Oryzias latipes: one gene and its partner. The protein of the gene in region 1 purifies or fractionates together with the protein of each later gene. This does not show direct contact. Links are inferred from orthologs where the notes say so. Each region holds a gene or a part of one and is shown on either strand. Other genes may lie near its edges.

What was found.
Region 2: the proteins of wdr19 (region 1) and ift43 purify together in Homo sapiens (affinity purification with mass spectrometry; 3 studies listed by BioGRID and IntAct, counting the BioPlex papers as one, with this or other methods). This does not show direct contact. The link is inferred for Oryzias latipes from reciprocal best matches to the Homo sapiens genes WDR19 and IFT43.

Annotation. Positions count from the first base shown.
Region 1 is NC_019859.2:13,002,780-13,007,119, forward strand, and holds the start of wdr19 (WD repeat-containing protein 19), read left to right. Parts: upstream 1-1,448; 5' UTR 1,449-1,560; coding exon 1,561-1,566; intron 1,567-2,208; coding exon 2,209-2,300; intron 2,301-2,399; coding exon 2,400-2,465; intron 2,466-2,576; coding exon 2,577-2,702; intron 2,703-2,805; coding exon 2,806-2,924; intron 2,925-3,012; coding exon 3,013-3,128; intron 3,129-3,251; coding exon 3,252-3,332; intron 3,333-3,771; coding exon 3,772-3,884; intron 3,885-3,981; coding exon 3,982-4,155; intron 4,156-4,231; coding exon 4,232-4,302; intron 4,303-4,340. UniProt on the Homo sapiens protein: As component of the IFT complex A (IFT-A), a complex required for retrograde ciliary transport and entry into cilia of G protein-coupled receptors (GPCRs), it is involved in cilia function and/or assembly.
Region 2 is NC_019880.2:13,329,622-13,334,178, forward strand, and holds the start of ift43 (intraflagellar transport protein 43 homolog), read left to right. Parts: upstream 1-1,565; 5' UTR 1,566-1,649; coding exon 1,650-1,694; intron 1,695-2,709; coding exon 2,710-2,808; intron 2,809-2,899; coding exon 2,900-2,920; intron 2,921-4,557. Other genes in the region: tgfb3 (transforming growth factor beta-3), read right to left, coding at 28-373. UniProt on the Homo sapiens protein: As a component of IFT complex A (IFT-A), a complex required for retrograde ciliary transport and entry into cilia of G protein-coupled receptors (GPCRs), it is involved in ciliogenesis.

The DNA of each region.
Region 1 (4,340 bases):
CCCTTGCTGTGAGATTAACACAAACAAGGACAGGGCATGCTGACCCACAAAGACAGTACTAACCATAACATCCAGCTGCATGGCAAGTAAACTGCAGTGGAAGAAAACCATAAGGGTAACACTTTTTAGGATTTATAATCATGGGATGAGATTGTGGCGTATTGCATGACCCAAAAAATACAAAAAAAGTGACTCTTCCTACAAAAACAGCCAACAGGAGGCAAGTGTGATAACTGATGACTCTACTAACAGGAGGTAACTCACGGAGGGGCAGAAAACCTAGACAATTAGAGGATGTTGTAAGTGGAAATAAGGTTCACATTTCCATAGGGCATTATGGAGGATCCCACACACAAAGAAAAGTCATTCAAAGCAGTGGATTTAATTCAGAAATAACACTTTCATCTGAACTACTCTGCCACAGGGCAATAAACAGGCAGAGAACAATCATTAATAAACAAATTGAGGGCGTTAAAGAAACTATTATTTTTTGTCGCGTTTGTTCCTTGAATTCATTGTTGATGAAGCTGCACAGCTCAAATCACAAAAATGAGGCGTCTGGAACGGAACTTTACTGGTGACCAGGTTAATACTGCCACCTTGTGGTCAGATTCTGCAATTAAAAAGCTGCAAGTAAAACAGCACAACAAACCAGTTGTTTTCATACATTGATGCTCTGATTTTCAAGGTGCATTCAGTTCAGTATTTAACCACAATCGAAACTCATGACTACAATATATTTGAGTTCAACTTTTAACATAAGAAATTAACAAAATACAAAAAAAAAACAACAAACTTTTTTTTTCGTCACCCAGTAAGCGCCCTAATTACAGTACATGCAAAAAATATTAATTGTGCGAACATGCTGCATACTGCAGTACGGAAGAGGATTAGGGCCATGGAGAAATAAAAAAAAAGGTCATAGACAATTCTGACTTTAAAGTCAGAATTCTGAGATTAAAGTCAGAATTTTCTATGCGCTTTTTTTTTCTTTGTCCATGGCCCTAATCCTCTTCGGTACTGCAGTGATAAACTATAACAAACTTTCTACAATTACTCTTTTCAGAAACTTGAAATGTATTACTGGCCAAATCAGGATTATTTTTAATCCTAATATTTCCAGCCCTGGAGGGTATGAATCCTTAAATATTGAGGCATTAAATAATCAAAATAATGAAAAAATTTACATTTTCCAAACCCCAATCTATGTTTTGTTAGGAATTAATGTAAGGATTAACATCACTTAATTCGTTTATTTTTGCAGAAACCTGTTTTATCTGATTACGTCATGACAGAAAATCCTCATCCTGTAGATATTGAGGGAATGAGCGAGCACAATTGCAAATATAAAATCGTGTCAGGTACAAAATAATGTTTCAGGCGAGAGCCTTTTGAACGGCAGTTTATGGAGGTGTGTGATTGGCTACTGTCTGTTGCTATGACATCGCTGTAGTGGACGCCTGAGAGTGAAGCATTGTGGGAAATACGTTTTTTATCCCCTTTAGGTTGAGAATCTGATGGCACGAAAACTTCAGTTTCGAGATAATTAAATCAAACAAAATGAAGGTAATTTATATCGCAGTTAAGGGAACTTTGTGGTGGTTACTGTGAAATACGTCTGGGGGAAAAAAGCTGGTTCGGTGTGGTGTTGAGTGCTATGCTAACGTTTTACACAGGCTTTGGTTAAGGTAAATTTATGTATGTGTTCTTAAATTAATTCGTGCCTTTCTTTAATGAGTTGTGGATGGATTTTGAGTGTATACGATGTTTTTAAAAAGGTAAAACGGGTTGGAAGTATAAGCTACAACAGTTTTTAACTGAGTTTTAATGAGTTGTTTGATGCTACTTGCAGAGAAACGTTGTTTTGTTTTGTTTTTTTCCAATTTCATTTTTTTTCTTTTATTATCCAAACTAAGTAAATGTTTTTTAAAAGTCACCCAAATAATTCATAGATATTTGAGAATGAGCCACTTTGACAAGTTTAAGTGAATAGAATTGGGAGGAAACCAAACATTTTGCCACCAATGAGAGGATAATCTGTTGTTTCAAATGTAGGAACAATTATATTTTAAATAACCTTTCACCTGTGTACTGCACTAAAAAGTTGCAGATTTCATAAACAAGGGAGGCATCTCTGTAAATTGTCCCCTCAGAGAAAAGTTAGGTTTTGGATCAGTGATATATTAAAAGAGTCATATATCTCCACAGAGTGTTTTTATTCTTGCCGACAAGGCCTGGACCGGCTCCAACCTGCTTTACAAATGGCAAAAAAGTCTTGGTAATTATATTGCTGTTGCAGGGTGAGTATTATTTTTTTTTTGGGGGGGGGGATTTTAAAAATCAAGGTAAGATTATAACCAGAAGTTCAAAAATGTTTCTTTCTACCTTTATTGCTACAGACAGGACAACTCGGTAAAAATATTTGATCGGTATGGACATAAATGGACTGAACTCAACCTTCCAGGGTAAGTGGGACGTTTTCTTTAGGGTTTGTTTTTGTTTGATCAAGATGGATGAAAAACATAAAATAAAGACCTTTTTGCTTTTCTTTCTCCTCCTCATCCTCCTCCTGTAAGGCGCTGTATGGGGATGGACTGGGATAACGACGGCGACATTCTGGCCGTTATTGCAGCAAAATCCGTCTCCATCTACCTGTGGGACGCCAGTGTCAATAAAACATCACAGATAGACAGTGGCCTGAAGTATGATAATCAATCTCTACGGGTTAGAATAGTTACCAAATGAAACATTCTCAGTGCAAATAAAAATACTAATTTTAGCCTTTATACTTCTTGTTGTCCCCAGCAAAGATCAGATGTCCTTCATCTTGTGGTCAAAGACCGGCCCTCTGTTAGCTGTAGGGACCGCCAAAGGAAACCTGTTGATTTACAACAGACAAACCTCACGCAAAATCCCGGTCTTAGGTAAAGCACACTGAATGCAACCTCAAAAGCTGCATGTCAGTATTGGTGAGTGTTACAGAATGAAATGTCTGATGTTGTCTAACTTTAGGGAAACACACCAAAAGGATCACCTGTGGATGCTGGAACTCTCAGAATTTATTGGCCCTGGGGAGCGATGACAACACTCTCACCATCAGTAACCATGAAGGAGATACCATCTCACAGGTACTGGTGCACTTCCTTTAGTGTCATATAGTGTCAGAACATTTATTATTGTTATCGACCACGGAAATCTGACACAAAAAATGTACGGTAGTTAATCTTTCCCGTCTTTTTTTTTTTTTTTAGGCTGCACTGCGTGGAGAACCTGGTGACATTTACTTTTCATCGATGAAAACAGATGAAAGATCATCTCACGGAGAGAGTACTGTAGGTTTCTGGCTTGATTTGTTTTACTTTAACCATAGGTTATGTTTTGCCTGTTTGAGGTGAGGTTGTTCGATAATACTTGAAAAATTGACTTTATTTGTAGCCTTTTGTTTTTTGCTCTTCCTCACTTTGTGGTGCAGCAGCCTGTTACTGTCACTCATCAGAACTATGTGTCCTATTTTCTTCCATAATTGGTTTAACAGATAGTTTAACTCCTGTTTGTAATAGCCTGAGTGCAGACTCTATGATGATAACACTTTTATTTTTATGAGATGTTGTTTTTTAAACTTTTAATTCTATTTTTATAGTACTCATTTTGTGTTGACCTGCATTTTATTACATGAATTTGTCTATACTGGATGTTTTCCTTACAGAACCATATTTACCTGTTTCAGCATTACACATGTCCGTATTTTGATCACAATCTCTGCCTTCTCAGGTGAGTGTGATTGTGGATAAGAAATCCCTGATGCTCTTCAATATCAACGACCCAGAAAACCCAATAAAACTGGCTTTTCAGAGGACCTATGGAAGCATTGTGTCCTACCACTGGTACTGTTTACTTCCACGCACTACCACCGTATTTGGCACAGCGGGGACTAAATCAAGGCTGAGAATTCTATACTACATTTTTTGTCTGATTGTGCAGGTATGGCGATGGATATATTCTTATTGGATTCTCCCATGGATACTTCATAGTCATTTCGACACATATTAGGGAGATCGGGCACGAGATCTATCAGACTCGCAACCAGGAGGATAGTCTCAACAGTGTGGCCGTATCGCCAGCCCTCCACAAAGCTGCATCTTGTGGGGACAACAGGTGAACTGACCATCAAAGACACCCAGGAAGGCTTTTGTTTTAATGAAATATTGACACTTCTCCTCTGCTGTTACAGCATCAAAGTCCACGAGTTGTCTGAGTCGAAATATATCAGCAGCGTTGTTCAACTTGACGAGGACATTAAAGGTAAATGCTTCCTCTTTTTCATTCTGAGAGATTTCCGC
Region 2 (4,557 bases), on another chromosome or scaffold:
AAGACTCAGAATAGAGAGAAAACTCACTGTTTTCAGGTGAAATATTGATCATGTTGAACTTGTAAATCTCTTTGGCGTAGTACTCAGTCTCTGTGCTATCCTGTCCGCAACTCTGCTGCCGGTCTCTTCCGAGCTCCTCAATGAGCTCCTTGGTGCTGTTATAAAGGGCCAGAACCTGAAAGGGTACCTGGGTCGGCCCCGCTGTCTGAGGCGGGCTGGTCATCCGGAGTTTACTCAGAATCTGTCCGCGCACCGCCTCCATTCTCTTTTTCCTGATGTTGTCGATATCCACAGTGGTGCAAGTGGACAGTGAGAAAGTCATTGTGACACAGTTGCAAAGGAGGAAAAGCAGGAGAGCTTTGCCCAGATTCATATTGCATTCACTCAAAACCGATCAAGTAAACGTAGAGAAATAAAATTGCAATAAGAAAAAAAATCTAATTCCAATTGTTATTGAATCCTTTTTAATATATATATTTTAAATTCAAGTCGTGAGTGAGTTCTGTTCCTGAAGAAATCCCATTTTCTCATGCGCTATGTCATCTTTGCAAAATGGGCAATTGCTTGGGCGCAAATCCGTACCATTTTGGAAAATATTCTCAGTTCTCCATCAAAACTCTCAATTACACTCTTCATTACCCCTTGTGTCATTCAAGCATCTCTCCTCTTTAGCTTTATTTCAATCTCTGCGCCGTGGTGAACTTGTCTCTATTCCACGAGGGTTCCCTCCCCATCCACTTGCGCTTTCTGGGGTCCGTGTGGCTCCGTTATCTCCCTGTAGTCCGACCTCAGACACGCTCTGCGCTGAGCCCTCAGTCAGACTTTATAGCTACAAGCAGTGACGTTTTGGAAGGAGGGGCAGCAATTTATTGTGCTTGAACAATGGGCGCTCTTGCAATCTCAATTTAAATGATGGCATTAAATATGCTTTAACATTTTAAAGGTGAAAGAACTTTCGTTTTTCAAAGAAAAAAAAAGTTAGTAATGCGTAATTTATTAATCATTAATTTCCTTGTTGATTTAGTCTGGGGATCCTTAAAATGTCAAAGAAGGCGATAATAAGCCGAGATTTTGAATATTTTGGGAGGACTAAACTCAAAAGTTGCATTTGATGGAAAGTGCAAATGCAGATGGTGAAGCAACATTTATGAGGTGCACCAAGTGTGCGCAGGAGTGCAACCTGATCCGCTTTTGAGTGCTACCGTTCAATGGGCCGTCTGTTTTTTAAAAGCATGCACAACACTGACATCTAGTGGCAAAAGAAGGGAACTGTGTTCAGAATGATTTTTGTTTCTTTGCAGAAAACTGAAAATATTGTATATTTGTTTACTTTTATCGTCAGATGGTCCCAAATAAATGTGAATTTGTGAATTATTAGCCACATCCATTTTTAAAGCTTTGCCATCCCCCTCCTTTTATTGTTTTTATAACTGTATGGCAAATATATACTTTTTAGGTGATGTGTGTAATATTTTGAAATTAAATACAGGTGGGCAATTATAAAAACGTTAATTGATTTCCTGTCTTTTAGTCAAGCAACTCGGATTCGCACGCTGATTGGTGTTGCTATGGACGCTGTTGCTATGTAACGCGTTAGCGTCAAACAGGAGCTTGGTTTTCTGTCTTTTTCTCCTCAGCTGAGGAGAAAAATGGACGACACCTTTCAGCTTGAATATGGTGGAGCGCCCAAAAACGTAAGCAGTTTGGTTGAATTGGTTCATAACAGGTGGAGAAGAGCACGTCTTTGCACATTTGTGTGGCGTAAGGGGTGAAGACGCACTTTAAAAGCCAAATCACGGTACGGTTAGCTAACTAGCCACTAGTAGGCCCTAAAGTTAAAACGCCGGGGGTTGTTACAGCTAGTTCACTTTTTATTGAAACAGTCAACGACACCGATACAAATGAGCTTGTTGTTTCTGGGCTACGAAAGCCGACAGATTTGTACTCGAGTTGCTATCTAACGAAAGGGTTTGCTATGCTAGCTAGAAAAAATTCCCGACATGCACCTTTTTTCGTTAGGGGACAGTTCTTTCTGCATTTTACCTTCATAGAAAGCTATACCAGACAGTTATGTAGAACAGATCAAGGTCACGACAGGGGCACTACTAAAACAACAACAAAAAAAAAACATATATATATATATATATATATATATATATATATATATATATATATATATATATATATATATATATATATATATATATATATATATATATATATATATATATAGGTTATTATATTCTTATTATGCATTTTTACAAAAAACAAAACAAAAACTGTGATAAAGATTATACATTGAGTGCAACTCAATTTTTTTAAACTTATTTTGTTGGTGAACCTGGGTCAGGTTCACATCATTTCCCTTTGCCTGCTTAGGTTTTCTATAGGCTCTCCAGGTTCCTTCCTGATTAGAGATTTGTGACTCTAAATGGTACCTTAGGGATGAATGGATGGTTGTGGTGACCCTAAACTGGTGACCTGGTCTGCTTTACCCCACCTTTGCCTACGGTAGCTATGAAGGGCTTCAGCAGCCCTTTAATGGGTATTAATAATAGATAAATTTTTTTCATGTATATTTAGTGGAGCAAGACATGTTGCATTTTTTTGTGCAAACCCAAGTATCATGAAAAGCTTAAAGCAAAACTTGCAAATATTTAGTAACTGATGAAAAAAAAACATTTTCCTAAGTTCCTCCTCATTTTCCAGGTTGCTAAATCTGGACGAAGAGCTCGTCCTCAGGCGAACCAATCGTCATTTGAAGATTCTCGCCATGCAAGGAAGTCCTCCACTTCTGCATCATTAGAAGTATGTAATCTACTGATAAGGCCAAGCTAGCTGCATTTCTTTTGTCTAAACATTTCCCGATGCAATAACTGCTTTGTTTTGTCCCATACATGAATCACATGATGCTGATGAGGTAGGTTGCCTGACCATGCCTGACATTTGCCTTTAATGCTCTAAATATAATTTACTTTAAACATTTTTACAGTTTTTAGATGCCTTTTTAAAATTGTTTTTGCACGTTTGCCTATTTCTAGTTGGTATGAAATAGTACCTCCCCATAGGTATATTGTTATTCCTAATTCTATCGGAAAATGCATATTGCTCTTAGAAAGTTCTGTTTGAAAATCTTTTGGTTCTTGCCGTTTTGTTGTTGTTACGTTTGTTTGTTTGCACTGGAGAAACGGAAACAAAAAAACTGTCTAAAATTCACTCCATGAATCAAAGTATTGGCACCCATAACTTAATATTTAGTTGCACCCTTTAAAAAAATTGTTGCTTCCTGTAATCATGAAAGTGTATCTCACACCTCTCTACGTGAATTTTGGACATTTCTTATGCAAACTGCTCCCGATTATTCAAGTCAAGAGGATCCTTTCTCCTTAATGTTTTAAAATTTCTGCACAGCTGTTCTATTAGATTTCGATCTGGACTCATTGCTTGTTGGCAGAATTCTCCAGCTCTTTATTTGGATCTATTTCTGAGTGCTTTCTAAAACATTTTGGGTCATTGTTCTCCTGGGAGGTCCATGATCTCTGAAGGAGATGCAGCTTTCTGACCACTATGTTGTGCATCAAAAATGTCTTGATAACAGTGGCGTTCAGACAGTCAAAGCATCCAGTAAAGCAAACCTAAAAAATCTTTGAAGGTCCAACATGTACTGTATATTTTATTTTGAAGGCCTCATTTCTTCTGTTGTAAACAGTATTATGATGTCCTTTACCAAAAAGTTCCACTTTTGTATCACTTTCTTCCAGGATTGCACTTTTGCTATATCAGTTCTCTCCAGCCTTGCTTTTTTTTTTAAATCATTTTGTCCAGTTCATTTTTCATATGTGTTGAATTTTTGTCAGGTTTGACTTAAGTTCTGCTTTTTTGTGTTGTTCCAGTGCATACAAAAGTAATAAACACATGAAATAAACACATATATTAAAACATTTATTTTAAAACACTAACATTATCTACATGCAAGAGTTTGAAGCGCTATTTTGTGCAAAACTCCTGGCATAATTTAAATTTACACACCACTCCCCATAGAGAGGGAACATTTTCTCTGTGAACTCTTAAAAAAAAAAAAAAAAAAAGGATGATGGTAAATTTAGAATTTAACAAGTAAGACTAAACATTATGAGAGAGGTCAAATAGAAGGAAATTGCGATGCTATTGTTGGCATTTGTGGAATCGGTCACATCTCTGCTCTGCTGGACTGTAAACAGGCCAACATTCCCAAAGCAGAAATTCCAGTAGTGCACTCGCTTTAGGCAATTCTTTCCAAATTAGGCCAACTTCCCTAATGTATGAACCCATATTCTCACGCCCCTCTGACCTCCTGTGCACATGCAATGCATTTTTTCAGTGTCGTGCAATTCAGATTTTTTTTTTTTCTTTGCTTCTAACCCTCTCGTGTCCTGACTAAAATACCCAACTGACTGGTCACATTCTTGACATTGTTTAAGTAAAAAAGTTGCTTTTATGGGCTCTTAAGGTTTGGCCACAAGTTCCATACAGACTGGCAGTGAGTCTTAATTTAGAAACCATAAGTTAATTGCCCCG